Saccharomyces cerevisiae S288C: one gene and its partner. Changing the gene in region 1 together with any one later gene gives a genetic interaction. Each region holds a gene or a part of one and is shown on either strand. Other genes may lie near its edges.

Region 1 (4,592 bases):
CTTATTGAGCAACGATATATGCAATGTGGAGATGGTGATAATAATAATTTCGAAAATTTATACAACTTGTTCGTGAATAGTAATAACATCAATAATGATATTAATAACTCAAGGCCAATAACGCGTAAATAAGTAGATATCAAAGAATTACGTCATCAACCAAGACAACCGCACTATTCGTAAAAATGATTTTAAATACAAAGACAGAATAACAGGGGAAGATGGAGGTATATAATAATGCGAATGCTTCATAATACTATGACTGGTTTTCCATTGGGCATATGAGATGATTTTACGGCTCAATCACTACTTATATATGATTTCTATAACAAAGCAGGCCATTACACATTAGGAACGGCTATCTATTACATAAGAATATGCAGCAAATTCGTTGGATATGTTAAAGTATATTCCACGCATGCTGAGAAGTGGATTGCCAGAAACGTGACGTGAAATACCTACTAGAACAAAAAAAAAAGGAATGCAAACGTTCTAGGAGCCATAGGAATCAAAAAGAAAAAAATTGAATTAATAGAGTTCGTGAGAATCATTGCGAATTGAGATTCTAATTACTGATCTGAGACTTTTGTGTTTTATAATAACAAGGTGCATAAACTACTTGAGTGATAAATTTCCCCTCATATCTAGTAGTGCAAGCTACGCTGATTATTTCATCTCTAATACTGCTTGTCAGTAAATGGTTCAAATTCACGTGGGGTATAATATGATTTATCGCACCTTCATCCCTCTCATGTGATTCTGAATTCTGATTGCTTTGGTTTAGTATTCTGTTCAGATAGGATGAATTCAGGTATATGGGCAAGTCAGGAACTGGGTATCTACTTAGAAAAACCGCCTCTGCTGTTTCTGCATCAATATTACCGCCTTGCTGTAAAGTAGCAAATAAATCATCTTGATTACAGTCAACAACTCTATGTGTAAAGCTGGGAGGTTCTTGGGGATGCACGTCATCAGAATCTCCTTTTACAGAAATCGTAGAGCCGTCACCTATATTAAATAAATTTGGTATTTCGTTCGAATACACCAACCTCTCAGGCTTGACCTCGGCCATCAAATCCAAACTGCTAGCCTTCAGACGTACAAATGAGTCACGCATATTTATTGAACTGGACCTACTTAAGCCTCTATAATCTGAAAACGGTGTACTTGGCCTTTCAACACCCTTAGCAGAATAGTAGGAAGATTTTCGAGAGGAAGAAGGAAATCTTTTAAGTTCCGGTCTCTTGGGCAATTCTTCATCCAGTGTTGGCTCTACTTGCGAGTCGATGTCTGCTTCGTTTCTAAATGGCTCGATCGTATGATAACCGGGCAATACTTCAAACCAGTTGACAAAATTGCCTTCTGAATCCGTAGCTGTAGGAAGAAAATTTGAGTGAGTCAATATACCATTGATGGAGAATTGCAGTCTATAAATTCCTGCAGGCAAAAAAAGATCTGGAACAAACCATTCCTTATGCACATCATCATAAACCATGCGGATCCTAGGATTTAACTGTTTTTCTGAGTCTAAACTTGCATTCTCATCCAAGGTAAGCTCTCTTTGCTCTTTAAGAGCAGAAGCAATATCCGTGCTTACTATAAAGACTTCCGTGGTTGCAGCCACGGTACCATCGTCTTTCCATTTTAGAACAACTAAAGTATTTTCGGTGGAGTTTGTTGATGATATTGAAGACATACTCGACATGGAATTAGAGTGATGCGATATTTCTCTATGCTGCGGTGCAGAGTATTGACTTTCATTGTCGTTAATAATTGGATGTAGTGGATGCAAAGGCTGCAAATTCAAACCGTTTGTTAAGATACTCTTTCTTGATTGTAAAGAATGCAAAGAAGCAAATGAGGATCTTCTCGAATTTGAAACCGACCTTATTTTTTTATTCTGGGCTTTCTTTGTCTTATTATGGTGCTTATTTAAATCTCTTTCCATCAAGGTCTTATCACCGTACAGTTTCATCATCATTTTTGCAGTAGCAGATATAGGTGCGGTAAAATCGTCGTTGGAGCCTCCCGCGTTTCCCTTGTTACGGGTGTTATTTTCAATATTTCCATTGTTATTAGCGTGGCTTATCCTTTCTGCAGTATACATTGAATTAGAGGAATTCACCCTTGAAAGACGTTGCATATCCTTTTTTAAAGCATTTTGTAAAAGAGACTGGTTCAAAACCATATCTTCACTTTGAAGTACGCCTGCTTCTGCATCTACACTATCACTGTTTCCCTCTTTATCCATTTGAGAGTTCTCAGAAAATGTTTCGTCGTTATTGAGATATTGATATTGGTATGCATGGATAGATGGTTTCTTTGAATAGGGTTGTCTTACAGGAATATCAATGGAATCCGTCTTGGTCAAGGCGGGAAGTGATGCTGAATGCACCGATGAAGACCTCGTTGGAGAAGGGGAAGCAGTAGCTGAACTTTCTAAAAGATTTTTTTTCAAAGCTATGATGCTTGAGCGATGCCTTTCATGGTGTGGTTTGTCGTTTCTTTCATTTTCTGTTGTTTCGTCAACCATGGTGTAATTCAAAGTAGACAGATCATCCAGATCACTTTTAGTTCGTTTGACAGTGGCCATTGATGGACCTGGGCTCAAAAACGACGGAGATTTCACCTGCTCTTCGGGTGCACCCACATCGTGATCATCACTTAAAGTCAAATTGGCCAACGTAGTGTCATTTACGTCTGCGGCAGAGGACAAAGAATAATCCTTTTTGAATAGATGGGACGGGCCCTTATCGATAGTAGTATCACTGCTCATGCGCCCATCACAATCTGTCGATGGATCGTGAGATGCAAGTAATTGCATTCTAGGGGGAATGGCACCATTATGTTCGCTAGTATGACTGGCGCGTCTCTTATGAGTACTCTTCCTATTGTTAAACAGTTGAGAGGTTATGCTTCCCTGACGATCTTTATTGAATGCATCATGAAAATGATGTCCATGCTCCTTTTTGGTTGAATGCGATGGATCCTGAGTAGAAGGACTGTTTCCCATGGCGGCTGCAACAACTATATAATATGACAGTTCAACTTTCCAAGATGTCAGTCCACACGCAAAAAAAGAAGTGCAAATGAAAGAAACACTAGGTAAGACACCTTGTTTATGTAGGTATCCACTTGTATCGGATATATCTACCATTGTTAATTGTCAATAGTATTCCATCAGAGACAATGGTAAAAAGACAAAAAAGGTATAATCATCGTACAAAGCGATCAATATTACATGCTCTCATCCAACATTATGTATACTCAAGATATGTTTATATGCTACAGGAGCTGTCTAACCAGAGCACTCTGTAAGTCGCGAGCTTTGACTACTATTTTGCAGTCATCTGTACATTTTGCCTTGATTATTAATTCGCTGCATAAATCATCTATGTCCAACGATGAATATTTTGGTAGGGAGGAGATCTCTTCGAGAATGTGGTAGCAAGACGCTTTTCCATTCGATATGGCGCTGCTAATGTGTTCAATTGCTTCAGATTGGGTTCGAATTGTTTTAGTATGAGAAGCAGCCACCGGAAGCACCGAAGCTAGAGATTTCTGATTCAACAGGTGGCTTGTTATTAAGTCGCATTTGATCTCCTTATTTGAACATGGTTTGGTCCCGATACACTTGCGGTTGCAAATATTATTACACTGGCTCCCTACAGCAAGGGGAAGCACGCTGGGGAATAAAGTATCATCTTCTGTCTCGTATGGAAGATACTTTTGGTCAATTTCACATTGACATGCTGACGTATCTATTTTTTCAGCGGTCAGGCGTTCAGAGTGCTGAGGAAAGTAGTTATGAATGTCGTAATCTAAAGCTTCTAGACCAGTCTGTCTATCATTGGAGACAAGATCGAGACTGAAATCTGGCATTTCACTACCATTAATACTTTCGTCACCGATGGTAACGGCACCTGTTCGATTTCCGGGGGGAGAATCCCACGAATTGGTTAAACTGGGAGCGTTCCATGAGCCTATGTTCCACATAACTTTCTCATTCTCTTGAGTGTGCGGCTGTACTTCTATACTTGTGTTCACAGTCATGTTTTCATCTGAATTAGGCGATGGCAATTCCTTTGCAGCCTTGCTAACTGCTGTACTTGTTCCTTTTTCGTTTTCCCTTTTCTGTTGTTCTTGCAGATCATCGAGGAAGGCTAATATTCTTTCATCATCAGAATTCTTAGCTCTATATTTTGTAATTTCCGACAGTAAACTTTTTAAAGAACATAGTAAAAAGTCCGTGGTAGTCTTATTCTGCGCATCTTTCTGTTCTAGTAACTCTACCCTCTCTTGCAAACTCTTCATTTTGGCTTCTTTCCTATCTCGGAACGCTCGTTGAGCTGCCCTATTCTGGGCAGTCCTCCTACTCTTAGCTTCAGAGTCAATCCTTTTTCTGCCTGGTCTGCCCACCTTCCTCTTAGGTGTTCCATCTTTATTTAGCAACATTTGCTTCTTCATGTCACCTGCTAAATATATTTGCTGACCTTTCCGAAGGATATTGCCCATTTATCTTAACTGGTCGTTCCATTGCTTATATGTCGTCCTTAAAAGTAACACCCCATTCGTATGAAAGTATAATAGTA
Region 2 (5,082 bases), on another chromosome or scaffold:
AACTTCATCAGTCAGTGTAAACAACAGGATGATACCAATGGACTAGGCGTAAAACAACTAACGTTTAAACAACATGAAAAGGATGAGGGTAAAAGTTTGGTTGTAAGGTTTAGCGATGTCTATGTTGTAGAGCCTGATGGAAGTGAAACACTAATTTCGCCAGATACCTTGGATAAACCTTCAGTAAAGAACTGTTTGTTTTGGAGAATACCTGCTTCGGTTTGGAACATGACGTTTGGCAAATCTGTTGGTAGCGCAGGAAAAGAAGAAATAATAACGGATAGTAAAAAGTATGATGGTAACCAAACAAAAAAGGGGAACAAAGTAAAAAAGGGTTCTGCAAAGAAAGGCCAAAAGAAAATGGAATTGCCTAACGGTAAAGTGATCTATTCACGTAAATGATACGTAAGAAGTAATATTATCATGATGAATGAATGAATGAATAGAAAACTACATGGTACTTATACATATAAATTAATATATATATATACAAATTAAAGAAAAGTACAAAACAATGTATCATTCATGATCATAATCATTATCATTATCAGCATCTTCATTATAATTACGAGTATTATCATTGTCATTATCATTATTATCGTTATTATCGTTGTTATTACTATTATTACTATTATGGTTGGTATTGTTAATGTTACTATTACTGTTCTTGTCCTCCGGCGGCCCCAGTATGAAAACCCCATTTTCCGTGTTCTTATTATCAACGTCTTCTTGAGCCCTATTGATTAACATTTCCCTTAACTTGTTGTGTAAATCAGATTCTGTAGATAAGGACAACTGTTCTTCTAGAGACTCAACATTGATTAATTGGCCGCCACCACTTGTTCCATTACTACTCCCGGTATCTGAATCAAGGATTTCATTATTATTACTTGCATCACCATTTGGAGTTAATACAGTAGTATTGTCAGGCAGCTGCGGAATGATGTTACCATTTCCATCATCAATATAACTTCCACCGCCAAGAATTTTAGAGTACATCATTCTTGTTTCGTTTAAGACTTCTTCGGAGTAGTATTGCCATTCTTCGGTTTGTAAAATTACTTGAATATCGGGAGATATTAGTTCCACTTTGTACAATTTAGAAAATTTGACCACTTCTTCGGCAATCAAGACAATATGGCCCATATATCCCAAATTCATTTTCCTTAGCTCATAAAATTTATATGAATCCTGGTAGCCCCTTAATATGAAGTCTGTAGTTATTTTGAAATCAAAATTTGGGTCTCTAATAACGGGAGAAAATCGGGAAACATCCGTTCCTTTTTCATCTGATATGACGATATCAGTCATAAATTGATAGGAGCTCTTTAAGTTAAACAGAGACAAAACAAGGAAGGAATTATAGGAAAAATCCATTCTTCCATTGAAGATTTGCTGAATTATGTCGAATATAACATTATGCCAAAAATTGTTCCAAGGATGTGTTAAGAATAGTTCCATTATTTTGGAAACAATTCGCGTATCATATAGTTTGATTTTGAATAGGTCCCCGACCGTGGGGTCGGTCCTAAGTTTTATGTTTTGCTTCATATTGATGTATGGAATTTCGAAGCTCTCGTCTATTTCGTCGCCATAGTCACTTTCATCATCATTATCATTATTGTCGTTATCTATTTTACCGTTGTTATTTTTTAGGTCGTGATCAGTGTCACGTGTTGGAGAGTGCTTCGTTTTAAGTTGCTCCTTTTCTTCGATACTCAGATCGTTTAATGCATCTTGTAAATGATGGGATAACTGGCTCCTTACTTTATCTCTTCTTCTGGCTATTCTTTCTGCCCTTTTGGAATTCATTAATCCCATATTAGAGCAATGCAGTAACTCGGCGATTAATTCCACCACTTTGAATCTTTCAAATCCTAAAGGTTTAAATTTTTCGTGCAACTGATTTTCATGTAATGGGATGTTGGCGTCATTTTCAATATCTAGAATGATTTGGAAAAAATCGGACAAATGGTTTGAAAATTTCCGAAGTAGATAGCCTAAATATATTGGATCTCTATTTGAAGGTGGATGAGTCTTTATAGTAGTGGTTAAAAGATTAACTTGATCGTAGTCTGAATTGTTTTTCCTTATCAGCTCAATGACAATCGAAACTGTGGTATTTAATGCGGCACCTCTTTGGTTGATCATGATATCGACTAGCTTTGCAATGGATTCGGGAGATGCTAGCTGTCTCGTCAAGGAGTTTGGACCAATGGAAATATCATCCAAGGGTGCATTAGCAGAAATGGCAATCAGAGCCTTTAAGAAATCACCCACGCATGCTTGGATGTCAGCTGGGGACTCTTTGTTATTTAGAAAGCTTAAGCATTTGCTGATCAAGTTTTGATCATATACTAATTCAATTATTCCCGTGGGTGATTCAATCTTATCTGTGGATATTATTTTCAAGAAAAAATCCATCAATAGGGAAATATCAACATGCTTTAACATATCATCAACAAAGCTTCTCTCCGTTCGAATAAAATTTAAATATTGATCCTGCCTGGTTAACAACAGATTTTGGTTAATCTTTAAGAATATGGGTACCAAGGGAGAGTTTTCAGAATTGAAATTTGGCTGGTTGATGATAGACCAAATCTTGTTTAAGTATGATTGGTTTTTAACTAATGACTCGCTAATCAACCATATGTCTAAGGAAAAGATTTCAGATATTATGGTGGCCTTTGTCAAATAAGCAGATTCATCGTCCTCATTCGCATCGTCGTCGTCGTCATTGTTGTTGATATCATCGTTACCAAACGAGGAGCTTCCGCGTTTTCGTCTCTTCTTGTTATTGCTGTTATTATCGTCCTCTTTCTCCTCTTCTTGCTCCGTATCAGATTCCACATAAACGTCCTCTTGTGAGCTATCATCAAGCTGTTGCTGTTCTTGATAATCTATCAGGTTATTCAAATCCACTGTGGTGGCGGTTTTAATCTTCGAGATACATTCCATCAGTTGGTCGACCAGATATTCCATATTATTCACTTTCTTATTAGTTTTCTTATCAAAGAAAAATCCAAAGCAAATGAAGTCAAGTAGCGTCTTGTTTTGTCTCGATAATTCGTTCAGTAGCTCTGTCTCTACAAGCATTCTTTCAATAAAAGAGTTATCCAAATTCTTTGTGGTGACCATCATGGGAGCAGTAGCATTGCTGATATCCTCCTCATCTAAATCAGTTTTAGAAGTTGACCCAGAAGAAAAAGATGTAGTGGAAGATTCGCTAGAGTTCATGCTCCGTTCCTCTTCCTCTTTCTCATACCGTTCTTGCTGATCATCCTTCTCAAATCGACTCTTCTGATCTCCACGTGCCGTTTTCACTTCATCACCATGACTATACTCCTCCGGAATAGAATCTAGGGAGTCACTTGTACCTCGTTCCTGAACGTTGTTGAAAATAGCGGGAATGGCTTTACCAACGCTTGGGTTAATCCTTTCCAGTTCGTGTAGCACATGAAAATATTCATCTAGGATCTTATTAATATTAGAGTGATTAAGATTCTGTCCAAATGGCCAAAACGACATCTTTACTCTGGCTTGTTGTTTTCGTCTTTTTTTTCTTTTCTTTTGTAAAAACTGCTGCTCCAAAAATCAATAGAATGGGAACGGCAGAGACTATAGTCTAGGGAAGTAACGCTTGTGTCTTAATCGTGTTGAAATAAAATCAAAATGAAATAAAATCAAAATAATAAAAAAAGAGGAGGAAAAAAGGGGATAGTCACTCAAACCCACTATCTAGCTTTAGTCTCTCAGTCTTTTAACCGCTACTTGGAGAAAAAATACTGAATCCAATGGTCAAATAAGGCCTTTCTTCTAGTTGCTTTGGAGCGTATGATACCACGATACTGTTGGTTTTGGTTCTAATTGGCCACTTAAAATTATTTTTCTTTCTTTTTTTCTAGAGGAAGGGATAACCCTACTAAGACCTATTCTATAATTACCAGCCCTATAGTTGTCTTTCATTTTTTAGATAAATGCCCTCTTTAAAAATTAAATTAACCCTACTCATTTTGTTGTCATTTCGGCCCTTTTAAGCCACAATACAGGTATCATTTAACAGGAATTACATAATAGTACTTTAGAAGAGACTTGTATGGCATCGAGGCTTCCTTTTTGACTATTGGAAGATAGCATTTTTTTGGGTGTTGCTACTATCATATTTCTGTTACTGATTGACCTTTTCTTAACTAAGAAAAAGGTGGTTAGTTCTTTACTAAAAATCATGAAGGCCGTTTTCAAAGTAACGACTGCTTTGCTGGCTTGCGTGTTTATTGCAAGGTATCTGGTCTGTCAGCAAAATGGTCTGGGAAGCTTTGCCACAGATTTACAGCCCATTTGCCGGCATACTGAATTTTCAGTTGGCTCACTATTCGATTCTAAATTGGTTGAAGGTTCAGCGGTTTCTGACTATTTAGTTGGAAAGTACTCACAATCGATAAAACCACTGATTGAAAGATACCCCAACTCATCCTTGAAGAGAATTATGGGATATTTTTACCGCTTTTGGTACAATATTTTCTCTTTTCTAAGGCTAAATGAGCTCTGCTGTTCGCTACATTCCAAGTTGGGACCTTTATTAAATCATCTAAGGATTGCCTGGTACTATTTAAAGCCATATACAGACAATGTGAAGAATGTACTAGAGAATCCATTTAACTCCTCTACGGATTGGATGAAATACGGCTCCTTTAGCGCTGATGGCACGCTCACCAAACCCATTTTTGAGACAGACTCGGAAACAGAGGATTATGAGGATGATGAGAATGAAAATGAGGATGAGGATGAAGATGAGGATGAGGATGATGTCGGAATTGAGGATGAAAATAAAGAATACGAGTTCGATGGAGTACAGGATGGCCACGGGAACTCACAACTCGTCACTGCTGCTATTTTGCAGGATTTGTCAAAGATTATCATTGGTTCCAATAGCCATGCAGAATTGGAAACTTACGAGGCAGAATCATTAAAAATGGAATATGAAGCATGGATTAAGGCTATAGATTCGAAAATACACAGTGCGATGGCACTTTTGGATTCAGAGATACAGTCTGTGTTCGAGGCCGAGGTGCAAAATAAATC

Evidence for each region.
Region 2: mutations in SIP1 (region 1) and SAP155 together harm fitness more than expected from each alone (negative genetic interaction), as found in Saccharomyces cerevisiae (2 studies listed by BioGRID).

Annotation. Positions count from the first base shown.
Region 1 is NC_001136.10:1,314,761-1,319,352, forward strand, and holds SIP1 (Sip1p), read right to left. Parts: upstream 3,014-4,592; coding exon 566-3,013; downstream 1-565. Other genes in the region: ARO80 (Aro80p), read left to right, coding at 1-132; CAD1 (Cad1p), read right to left, coding at 3,286-4,515. UniProt on the Saccharomyces cerevisiae protein: Beta subunit of the SNF1 kinase complex, which is required for transcriptional, metabolic, and developmental adaptations in response to glucose limitation.
Region 2 is NC_001138.5:232,688-237,769, reverse strand, and holds SAP155 (Sap155p), read right to left. Parts: upstream 3,529-5,082; coding exon 520-3,528; downstream 1-519. Other genes in the region: ERJ5 (Erj5p), read left to right, coding at 1-402; OSW7 (Osw7p), read left to right, coding at 4,226-5,082. UniProt on the Saccharomyces cerevisiae protein: Positive regulator of protein phosphatase SIT4. Involved in directing expression of TOR-repressed genes and in dephosphorylation of NPR1 in response to nutrient starvation. Negatively modulates K(+) efflux of the cell by the Na(+)-K(+)/H(+) antiporter NHA1.